Linked DNA regions of Drosophila melanogaster. Changing the gene in region 1 together with any one later gene gives a genetic interaction. Each region holds a gene or a part of one and is shown in the gene's direction. Other genes may lie near its edges. The genes, in order: Cdk4, Rbf and upd1.

Region 1 (3,755 bases):
CGGTTCTCCGGATACCGCTGGCCAAAAGAGAAAACCCCCTTCTTGCCGCACGTGATCAGTGGATCAGATCTTGGATCTCGCATCTCAGAACTGCGATCTCCGATCATCGATGGGGTTCGGGTTTGGAACTAGTGTGTTCGATTCGCTGGGCCAGTGACGTTGTTGGCCAAGTGGCATTAGTTTGTCGATTTCAAGACCCGTCTTGGCCGTGTCAATGGCCAACCGGTTGCTTCGGCAGACTGCCGTGCTGCTGCTGCTGGCTGATTTATTCAATTGGCTAACATTTAGCCAAATTGCCCGTCAACACCCCCGAATTAAAAAAAGAATAAAAATAGAGAAGAAAAAACGGGCTCAGAACGCGCGATTCATTTGGACTCTTTGTTTGGCTTGGCATTTTCTTGCGTATTTTTAGCCAGAACCAAGCCATTTTGACCATAATATTTGTACAATAAATTTCATTTAATTAGTTTTTTGGCTCGCAGCCGGTTTGAAACGCAATAAGATTAATCGCCAGCGCCGATAAGCGCCTTCGTCACAGGCCGACAAAATGTCAGAGAGTGAAAAACAAAATATAAATGCTTATCAGCGACTTGCGTCTATTTGCCGATCGGTGAATTTCAGATTCGACCGGATCCTAACGGTATACCATATAATACCATTATTCCGGCAACGTTCCAGACACACAAACTAATGCAAATTAAATGGCTAATCCGTTGGCAGCTTCCTCGGAAATTATTAGTTGTCAGGCGGTTGAAAGACAAAGCCGATTATGATACCCAGAAATCCTGATAGCACACTCATTCATTATTCATTCATGAAAAGTTTTTTCTGTGAAATCAGTTTGGCTTGGAATCGGAAATGCATATGTTCTAATTGGGTGAGGTATGCTACACGGCTGGGCGTTGACTTCCGCGAAGGAATACGACTCATCCAGGTGCTAAGTGGGCCAAGATGGGCTGCAGCAATTGAATCACAAATGCCAATCGCCGACTGGCGCCCACCAAAGGTGAGAAAGGTGGGCACGTTCCGGCTGTCTGGGAAAGTGATATTTTCATTTCCCAACAAAACACATCCATCCTGACCAATCGCATTCGCATTCGCATTCGCTGTTTGCCCTTTCACTTTGAGCCGGAAAGGCGTACGTCATGCATAATTTAGGTGCCTGATACCCGCTGGTGGTAATTAGCACTCGGCTGACTTCGTCACTGTGCTCTAATTTGATTTCGTTACTAATTAATCGCGCTTTTTCCCCAAAAAAAAACATGGAAATTTTCGCCAATCCAATGGGTAACATTTGTGATAGGCGGTTTGTTAAATGCGTTTATTGGTTTCACAATGTATTTGCAACATTGTTTTTAAATTTACGCGCCCCACTGCGAATGCCTTGATTCGATTTCGAAATTGGCAGTGCGGCCAGATCGTTGGAAATCGGTAAGCAAGCTTTCACTCAAAAAAATGTTGAGCGACTTTTGGCATTCAACTCATGTCAATAAATTATACATTCAACGAGTGACTTTATCGCCGGATTGAGTTACAAATTGAATTATGCCGCCAATCTAGATCATTAAGACATTTTATTCCAGAATTTTGTATTATTTTGCAGGGTTATAAAAATTTAAGTTTACCAAATCCTAAAAATGCTAAAAGTCAATGACACACATGTTTGGAGTTAACTAATTATGGCCGACCAATTGTAGTTGACCACGACAGTTTTAAAATTTTCACATTTTATCGTATGTAATAAAAATTTTTTTCAAATATTATTTTCATTATGTTTATTATTATTTATTTATTTGTAATTTATATATGTTACATATATAAATGCCTGAAATTCACATTGCAAAAAAAATAAATTTGGGCATTATTACAAGTTGAAAATATCAAATTCCCAGAAATCAATAACATTAGTATAACACAATAACACTTACGTTATCGAATTGGAATAACATTCAATAACGATCGCTGGCAGCAATTTCGAAATTAACCGTTTAACCGATTGGACGTATACAGCACAATGTTAGCGGCCGTCTGTTTGCTAACAGCGGGCGATAACAGGCGAAGAGAAGCCACTGTTAAGTAGACCATCTAAAACAGTTTCCAGAGCTGTGCCAACAACAAAACACAAAATCACTCAACTCTTACGAATATTGGTAAAAATTTATAAGACGTTTTAAAAACTTAATTAAAGTGCGACTGCCGGCAACTGAACCGTGTTCGCACCGAAAATTCGCGTCGCGTTGCTCCTATCGTGCGGTTCTAGCTGGATTATCAACAAATGCCAAAATTTCGTCAAAGCGAATAAAAATCATATATGTATACATAATACCTGCGCCTGTGTGTGTGTACCACTCGGTGTGTGCGTTTGTGTTTGTGTATGTGTGTGTGTGTAAGACCGATCTCTCAAGCGAAATCACTTAGCGGCGTTGTGTGTGTGTTCGAGTCTTCGCAAATAAAAACCACATTTTCTTAATATTTAACTAATATTTCGCACAACGGTTGAAAGAAAAACGACAACATTGGCATTGAAGTTCACCGAAAAAAAAGTAAAGTGAAGCCGAAATTTCCTTATCAGTAGAGCGCAAATGGTGAGCGAGAGAGGGATGACGAGGGAGAGAGAGGGGGCGAAAACTGGTGCAACAATAACTATGTATTTTAGACCCAAATATACAGCTCGTAATACCTCGTAATACCTTTCACAATTCTGGACACTCTCTTTCTACCCAGTTTTGTGACTGTGTCGCTTATTATTGTTGTTTCGCTTGTCTCGCGATTAGAATTAATTGACAAATGCCAGCAACAAAATACATTGTATTCGGGTTCTTTTTTGCGGTATATGTATATTTTTCGGGCAAAAAAAATGCACTGACAGAAAAGTGGTAGCACTTTAGATAGGAGAGAATAGTGGACACACGCCAACTAACGCGACAGTAGATAACCAGTACAGCGTTCACAGTCAAGCTCGAATAAGAGCAACAGGATGCACGAACGAAGCCGCAAAACGGAGACGGCGAGCAGCGTCACTGAATAACATGAATAAGTCATAACTAGTGTTGGCCTTTGCCGTTCTGCGATTGGTTAGACATAAAAACGGAGTATGTACGAAAACATTAAACGCGGTTCAACGACCGCCGCCATCTACATACATACATACATATGTAGTTGTCCATGTATATGTTTCGGTTTTCGGTTCTCGGAGATAGAAAAGCATAGCGGAGCATATAGCCAGACTTCTTCCATTAGCGCACCTGTCACACCAGTCTTTATCGCCAGTTTTGGGGTTATCTAGAAAAGGCAACAGGTATGAAATCAGGTAAGGCCCTCCCTCTCTCTCTCACGCACTCGCACTCTCCCTCTCACGCTACGATCTGTGTGAACTATCGCGTGGGGACACAAGGACATATCGATACGTGACATGCAGACGATCGATAACCAAAAAAAAAACACCCCTTCACTTCCAGCTGGTGCAACTAACGGTTTCGATTACCCGGAATATTAGAGGAATACGCAAATAACCGTAAAATCCAGCTAAATGTCATATGTACGCCAGCTGAAGCGGCAGAAAATGTCCCAGGCGAAGAAGTTCGGCGATGGCGATCCGTTCAACTACCAGGAGCTCAACATCATCGGCGAAGGTGAGCGACTTGGGTGGGATTTAATAATGGGACGCGGTTGCTTTGTTGTTGGGATAGGTCCGGCTCTCTTCGCACGAGAGGCTTTCGTTTGCTGGTCGCTTGTTGTTAACGTTTGATTACTTT
Region 2 (3,755 bases), on another chromosome or scaffold:
CAGTTCAATCGAATATGTATGCAGTTTCCCCTCACACAGTTTTATAAGTTGGCCTGAAGTTTTTGTACAAAAAAATATAAATTTTATATTTAGAAATGAAATGCTCTGCATCTTTTAATGCCCTCTGCGACGTGGGAACGCCGCGTCCGAACTTGCAGCGGTTAATTCCCTATGTCGAGCCGCAACAGGACGACGAGGAGGATATGGTAGTGTGGTGCCGGTCAAATCTGGATTTGGCCTGCTCGCTCAGCGAGATGCGCATACGCTGTCCAGAGCACTTCGATGTCGCAACCGTCGTGGGGGTAAATTCGCATACCGGAAAACTAATCACCCACTTTAATCACCGGAAACTGGGGGATGTGGACCTGGCGCCTCACGCGTTGCTTAGCCGGCGAGACAAGTTCATGGACATTTGCCAGAAACAAGTAATGACGAGTCAGGGCTGCTTGGCGTCAGAGGGAACACCAATCCCCGCCGACCTGGAGGTCACTTGGCAGAGTCATAGCATCATTGACTGCCTTGCTCTCCGCAAGGTGCGTGCAGAGATGAATTTAGCTGATCAGAAGGCGGCCAAGAATCTTGTGGATCGCGTTGAGGTGCACCACAAGACTTTGCAGACGGAGGAGGCGGAGCGAAGGAAATTGATTATTGACAAGGCAAATTCTGCGAGGAACTTGACTATTGACAAGGCAAACTCTGCGAGGATCTTGGCTATTGACAAGGCAACCTCCGCTAGGAAATTGACTATTGACAACTCAACCTCCGCGGGGACATTGACTATAGACAAGGCAACCAACGCGAGGAAATTGACTATTGACAAGGGAACCTCCGCGAGGAAATTGACTATTGACAAGGCAACCTCCGCGAGGAAATTGACTATTGACAAGGCAACCTCCGCGAGGAAAATGACTATTGACAAGGCAAAATCCACGAGGAACTTGACCATTGACAATGCAACCTCCGCGAGGAAATTGACTATTGAGAAGGCAACCTCCGCGAGGAAAATGACTATTGACAAGGCAAAATCCACGAGGAACTTGACCATTGACAATGCAACCTCCGCGAGGAAATTGACTATTGAGAAGGCAACCTCCGCGAGACGTTTCTCTAGACCAAAAAGATATGTCAGCGGGTATATTTCCAAAAGAAAATCGATCGGAAAAACGGAGTCTTTGTCGCGCGGTGCATACATCCCCGATCCTGAGCTCAACCGCGCGATAGCCAAGTACGGTGTGTCTGCTAGTCAACCGTTCAAAAGACAGCATTGCCTTGTGCTGGAGAAGCATCCCGACAGAACCCAGATCCCGAACTCCAGAACCAACACCAGTGGCTGTAAGTCCGACGGCTCTTCAACACCCATTTGGAGAAGTGCTAGAACTGGTGCGGATCAGAATACGCAGGCAGAGAGTTCTGACTCTTTCAATTCCTCCAATTCCTTCGAGAGCTCCAGTCTGGCCAGCGATTCTCAAGAAAACCACGAGCTGTCCACGGCGGCAGGTCTGACGGCGGCCTTTATGCGGCGACACATGCTATTCCACCTCCTGGCCAGGAGGTTCAGAAGACGGTATCTACGTTAGCCACGTCGTAGCTCGGGTCGTATGTGCTGCGACAGCAAGTTCTCTAAATTGTATAGTGTATATGTATGTATGTTAGTAGCTGAATCGCGAAGAATTCCCGCGAATTTCCATAAAGTTCAAAGCAGTATTTAAATTTGCGGCTATCGATTACAACTAGCTATATCGCCGATGTGCAATGCTCTTGAACGCTAACCAACACTGTCAGTTTACCGCACACATGCAAATAGCATTGTGCATTGCAAATAAATTATATGTGTACACATATTTTTGTCAATTATTTCGTTCTAATTCATTTTAGGGTCCCCCAATTTAGGTATGTATGCAACACGACATACTGCTTGCAGTCACTGCATAACTCGCCAAGCACTGTAGTAATACCACCCCACCACGTTTAAACTGGCCGAATGCGCGCGTCGGTGTGACCGCATGGCTTTGCTGGCGAAATACCGGCCGCCCAACTAAAAATCCATTAACTTGTATTAACGTGTCAGACTCTGACTATGCAATCGCAATTGCAAAATCTTTAAGTAGTGGCAATAAATTAGTTTTCCTTCTGCACAAGTCCATCCCTAGGGCCACATCGTCCGCGCAGCCCTAGAAGTGGATAGTTCGAACGCGGAGTGGATCACACGCACCTGCCCGCCGCAACTAGTCAAGTTTCCCGCGTTTTCCATGGCGATTAAGTTGTGAAATAGTTATTTTGTTAATGTGTTTTAACCAACAACCGTGGCCGTGGTGTGGTCCTGGCTAATCGCAGCATCCCAGCGCTGTTTGTTCTGTCCCCTCGCCTGCTCTTTTGTTGTGTTCCTCAGAAAAGGGTGTATCGCGAACACACACACACGCGACAAACACTCGCACACAAACACACACGCCCAAATCATTTCGGCGGGAAACTTCATTATTTCTGTAATTAAGTGTAAGCTCTCGCAGTTACATGTCCGCGAGGAGCGCGGCGGCAAGCGCAGCATACACCGGCAGCCACTAGGCGCCAGGCCACTAGACGTAAACAGCGGCGCCAGGCCCGCAACGCCCCGGTTAGCCGGCTAGCTCCAATTCAGGCGCCTCCGTCTCCGATTTCCGACTCCAGGCTGTCGCCAGAAGCAGCGGCCGCCGCTGCAAGCATACGCAATCAGCCGGGACAGAGACATCATTCGCAGACATGAGCGAGCCTGACCCGCAGGAACTGGGAGCTGAGGTGGTCAGCGGATTGGTGGCGACCAGCGACGACCGCCTGGAGATGATCAACGCCGAGTACACGAACCTATGCCGGGATCTAAACATGGATCGGCAGACAGAGCTGCAGGGCTACGAGACGTACTTAGAGGTGTCCCAGAGGTGCTCCATGGAGGTGAGCTTCGAAGTGGCAGCAGTAGCCTCCAACCTAACGTCCTTTCTTTCATTCTTTCTGTGCATTGCCTGCCTAAAAGGGCACAGCCAGCCACTGGATGTGCTGCGCCATTTACACGGCCTGCCGAAGAACCAGCACACCCACGGTGACTGGCCAGAATGCAGTGGTCAAGGGTAATTGTGTGTCCTTAAACAATTTGCTGCGCTGCTGCAAGATGAGGTGGGTTGCCGTTTATGCCTGCAGTTTCACACCTAACCATTTCCACAATCCCCACCCACAGCATCTACGAGTTCAAGACCAAAATTAAGCAGTGGTGCGACATGGCCAACCTGCCTCAGGAGTTTGTCAACGAGATTGAGGATCTGGACCGCAAGTTCAGCATTACATTCATGCTGCACAAGCGTTTCCGCATTATTATGGACATGATCTTCTCGTGCCCGCCCAACGAGAAGAAGCACTCCAAGTACATGTGCGTATATCATCATGTCAGCCTGACCCCGTGTATATAAAAAGCTTCCCTCTTTGGAACAGTTCTCTGCATGGCAACCACGCCCACGGAAAGTGCTCGTACATCAAGCTGGACGACATCTGCTGGCGCCTGTTTCTCTGCGCCAAGAACCAGAAGCCGAGCAACACCGTGGACCTGGTGACATCCTACAATCTGATGATTTGCTGCATAGACCTGATATACAACAATGTGCTGGCCGAGAAGCGCACCGATCTCATCAACCCCAAATTCGAGGGCCTGCCGAGCAACTGGACGGAGCTGGACTTTCGTCACAATCCGCACTGCATTTTGTCCAACTTCTGTGACATGACCGAGGAGGCTA
Region 3 (3,755 bases), on another chromosome or scaffold:
GATGGTTCTCCTTATGGCACATCTACAGATACTTGTATCTGCATCTGTATGTATCTCTATCTGTATTTGTATCTCTCGGTTAACCTTCCGTCTCGAGGTCGAGGTGTTCGCTGTGGCAATTAAAGCGTATCCTTAGCATTCGCTACGCCGCTAAAAAATTACACCATGACAGGACACAATGCGTTCTGGACGGGCGAGGACCTCACAGGACAGCTCAATTTTGTAGCAAAATATTTTTGTTGTCCAGAACGAATCGCAAGTAAAACAGAAAGTCGAAGCTGGACGACTGGGTGTGGGGTTGCCTCCCCGCCGGGAATGCTGTGTGTGTGTGTACCGACAGCAGCAGCAGGAGCTCATCAACGCAATAATCGTGTCCATCTCGGGCGTACGAGTATCCCGATACCGATACCGATCCCGATCCATCCTGACAGCATCTAGGAGATGAAGCTGTTGCTCCGGGTGCGAATTGCCCTTTTTGTGCCTTGCCGCCCGTTTCCCAAAGGAGAGGTCGCACAAAAGGTGTGCGCTGCCACCTTGATATATGTGATATATGCGAGCGAGTCCCTCTCTGTGGGTTGTGGGTCCTGCGAGATTCGAGTCCTGTGCGTCCGTCCTGCCTTGCGGCGAAATAAAGGCGAGTGGCCCCGCTGCGCAACACAACTGCTTCCTGCAGCAGTTGCTGCACGCTGCACTTACGGTTAGACGCAAGGACACACCGTCCGCTGTCCGTTTCGGCCCGCTATCTGACCATCTACAGCTGTTTTCGGCTGCCCAAAACAATGCGGCCATAATGCAGCAAAACTCTCAATTTAATTAGACCGTCAATTGTGCAAGCCCTCGAAAGTAGGGAGAAATATGGGCATATTTGACATAGGGATGTCCTAGGTAGATGGGCGTCCGGGGGTTCGCCAGTTGGGAGTACCTGGCCCACTGGCCAGAGATTTCACACTCTTCTTCTAGTTACCCACCCAAAGCGGAATTGCGACAATATCAAGCCGAACTCATCGAGATGGTCAAATATCAGCGCTGCGATTATCAAAATAAATAATTTGAGGTGAGTTATAAATGTATCAAAAAATGATGAAACAACTTAATGTTTTACGATTTTTATGTAAATCTTTATTAATTAATTACCCATACGAACAGATTTAGGCATATATATGTATATTATTAACTTCATTTAAACAACTTGAATCATGTCAAATGAATTTGAATGGTATATACATATATAATAGATTGTGAGTGCCAAAATCACTACTTCAGTTATATTGATTGTGGTTCGAACACGTATAAATAATATTACTATAAAAATGTATATATTATGTATTATTATATATATTACTACTGGTATTGAGAAGAATTGTAACTGCACAATTGGTTGATTCCTTAGTGCTTTATCCTATTTTACGCTTTATTCCTTATAATTACTAAATTAATTTTAATATACAAAATATATAGCAATTTACTAGTTGTTAGAAAAAGTTGAAGAAAATGTAATATTGGTTAACGTTCCTCGTGGATAGTTCTCGAATGGATAGTTTACCTGGATTAGCGAGCTGAATAGCGGTGTTATGTTGGTCATTTCCGTTGATCACTTTCTAGACCGATTTGAATGTCAGGACTTTTTGGGAGGGGTGAGCAGGCCGCTCAAGGTCACCCAGAGAGTTTGAGAGAGGGAGAGAGAGAGAGGACCTAGCTGACCGGGCTTAGAAGAGTGAGACAGAGCCAGGTAGGCCTGGTCTTTTGGGGCACCAGGTAGGCTGCCTCTCTTCTTTTCCCGCTCTTTGAGTGAGTGACGCGGATTGGGCAAGTGGGAAAATTCCAGTTGCAATGGCGACCGGCCCAAGATCGCCCTGGTCCGCAGGAGCGAGCGGGATGGCGCGCGAGGACAGCCGGTTGGCAGGCTCAAAGACGGCACCAATACACACTTCGGCCAGGTAGGCGCATACGCACACACGTGCAGGTGACCTGGGAATAGGATACCCCGAATACGATCGGTGAGAGCGGGCGCGGGAGCGGGACAGCCTGCGGTTCTTCGGATCTGAATCTGATCGGTCCGAATCGGCGGTCTTCTTCTGGCTCGGACCATGGCGTACCGCTCGTCGGCACTCGGCGGGCAGCGACGCCGGCAGAGGCCGCTCAGCTCGCCTCAGTTCCCATTTCAGTTTCGGTTTCGGCCTTTTGGCGCTGCTCATCGGTCGGTCGGTTGGTCGGTGGTCGGTCGGTATCGCTCTGGTATTCTGGTATCTGGTATCCGCAGCCTCTCAGCGAAGAAAGCTGGTCAAATCCAGCGCGACTTTGGGCTCAGTTCGGTTTCACACTCGAACGCGAGCAGAAGTGTCCGCGAATCAGTCTCCAAAGCATCGAAATCACCAAATCAGAACACAAACTGAAGCACGGATTTGAACTCGATCTGTGGTCAAGTGGTCTCACAAATATTATATATAAATACATTTTTTTGCGAGTGTTGTGCTGCAAGTGTGTCCATTGAAAACCGCCGGAAAATCAACGAACAACGAATCTCGAACGATCATCGAACATTTGGATTAACGTACAGACTTTTGGGAGCTCAGGCGCAGCACAAACCACGGGGATCCCGCGAGGATCCTGAACGATTCCATTTTTCATCTATAATGCGGTGTGTGTATTATTTTTAATTTGATCAAGACTTAAGAGCAGGCACAATTGGAGAGTGGAGAAGCGATCGAAAAGGATATTTTGGTCAATATCAATTCTCCACTCTTCAAGTGACTTATCAACAAGAAACGACCAACGATCTACTGTTAAGCAAAAAGGACATTCTGTGACAGCAACTGCAATTTTGGGAATTAGGATTAAATTATATAGTTTAATTAATTCGCTCTGCATTAAAATGCAAATCCATTCAGGATATTGTTACTTGTGCGAATCCTTTCCGTTCGTTTTTAGCAGCAAACGATCTTCAGTCTCGAATTTTAATCCTGTCAGATAAAGTAGCTAACTTGAATGGAGAATTTGAAATGTTCAAATTTTAGAATTAGCCCCAAATCCAAAATTCAACCTCAAAAGTTTCCATACACTTTCACACACTGGAAGTTAAAGCCAAGCCAAGCCAGAAGGCAGAGATTTGTCGCCTGGAGAAGATTAGATCCTCGAAACTTGGATCGATACGTCTTCGTTATTCGCTCAGGCTACTCTCGAGTTAATTGTCTAAATTAAAAAGTTTCCCCGCCCTCAATATACACACATATCGCTCTGGAAAAGACAAAAAAAAAAAAACAACGAAAAGCAAAAAAAACCGCAAAACAAACATAGAGAAAATGTTAAAAAAATCGAACCAAATTGTTGAGACTGTTGTCTGGTTGCAGTTGCATTCGCATTGAAGGAGGCTCGGCCGATCATCCGACCCGTAATCCCGATCACCTCAGAGCTCCAGCATCGAAGCACCCGACCACCCAATCCCACCCAGTAACCCATCCACTCCCAAGGGAGTCCAGTTAGTTAACCATCTAGTCAGGGAGGAACAGTGATAGCAGTTGATCGTTGGTCGTCGCGCGTTGTAGCAGAAAATTGAATTTACTTTTGCATTCTCGATACTCATAGTGTTTTTTCTCCACATCTCTTCCCTTCTGACCCCCCATCCCCACCCTTCACATATATCCTATATATATATATTGTAACCCCGTTCGCTGTATCTGCACACTGATTTCGATACGGACCGCGGACAGTAGTTGGTTGGCAGTGCGCTGCGACCACAGCTAAAAACAGCACCACGG

The links.
Region 2: of Cdk4 (region 1) and Rbf, changing one suppresses a phenotype caused by changing the other (phenotypic suppression), as found in Drosophila melanogaster (2 studies listed by BioGRID).
Region 3: of Cdk4 (region 1) and upd1, changing one suppresses a phenotype caused by changing the other (phenotypic suppression), as found in Drosophila melanogaster (one study listed by BioGRID).

What each region holds. Positions count from the first base shown.
Region 1 is NT_033778.4:16,577,384-16,581,138, forward strand, and holds the start of Cdk4 (Cyclin-dependent kinase 4), read left to right. Parts: upstream 1-2,086; 5' UTR 2,087-2,150; intron 2,151-2,180; exon of another isoform or gene 2,181-2,543; intron 2,544-2,722; exon of another isoform or gene 2,723-3,310; intron 3,311-3,449; exon of another isoform or gene 3,450-3,458; 5' UTR 3,459-3,529; coding exon 3,530-3,632; intron 3,633-3,755.
Region 2 is NC_004354.4:799,767-803,521, reverse strand, and holds the start of Rbf (Retinoblastoma-family protein), read left to right. Parts: upstream 1-2,042; 5' UTR 2,043-2,736; coding exon 2,737-2,925; intron 2,926-3,004; coding exon 3,005-3,144; intron 3,145-3,205; coding exon 3,206-3,394; intron 3,395-3,456; coding exon 3,457-3,755. Other genes in the region: CG13359 (uncharacterized protein), read left to right, coding at 96-1,577.
Region 3 is NC_004354.4:18,307,692-18,311,446, reverse strand, and holds the start of upd1 (unpaired 1), read left to right. Parts: upstream 1-2,155; 5' UTR 2,156-2,638; intron 2,639-3,187; exon of another isoform or gene 3,188-3,710; 5' UTR 3,711-3,755.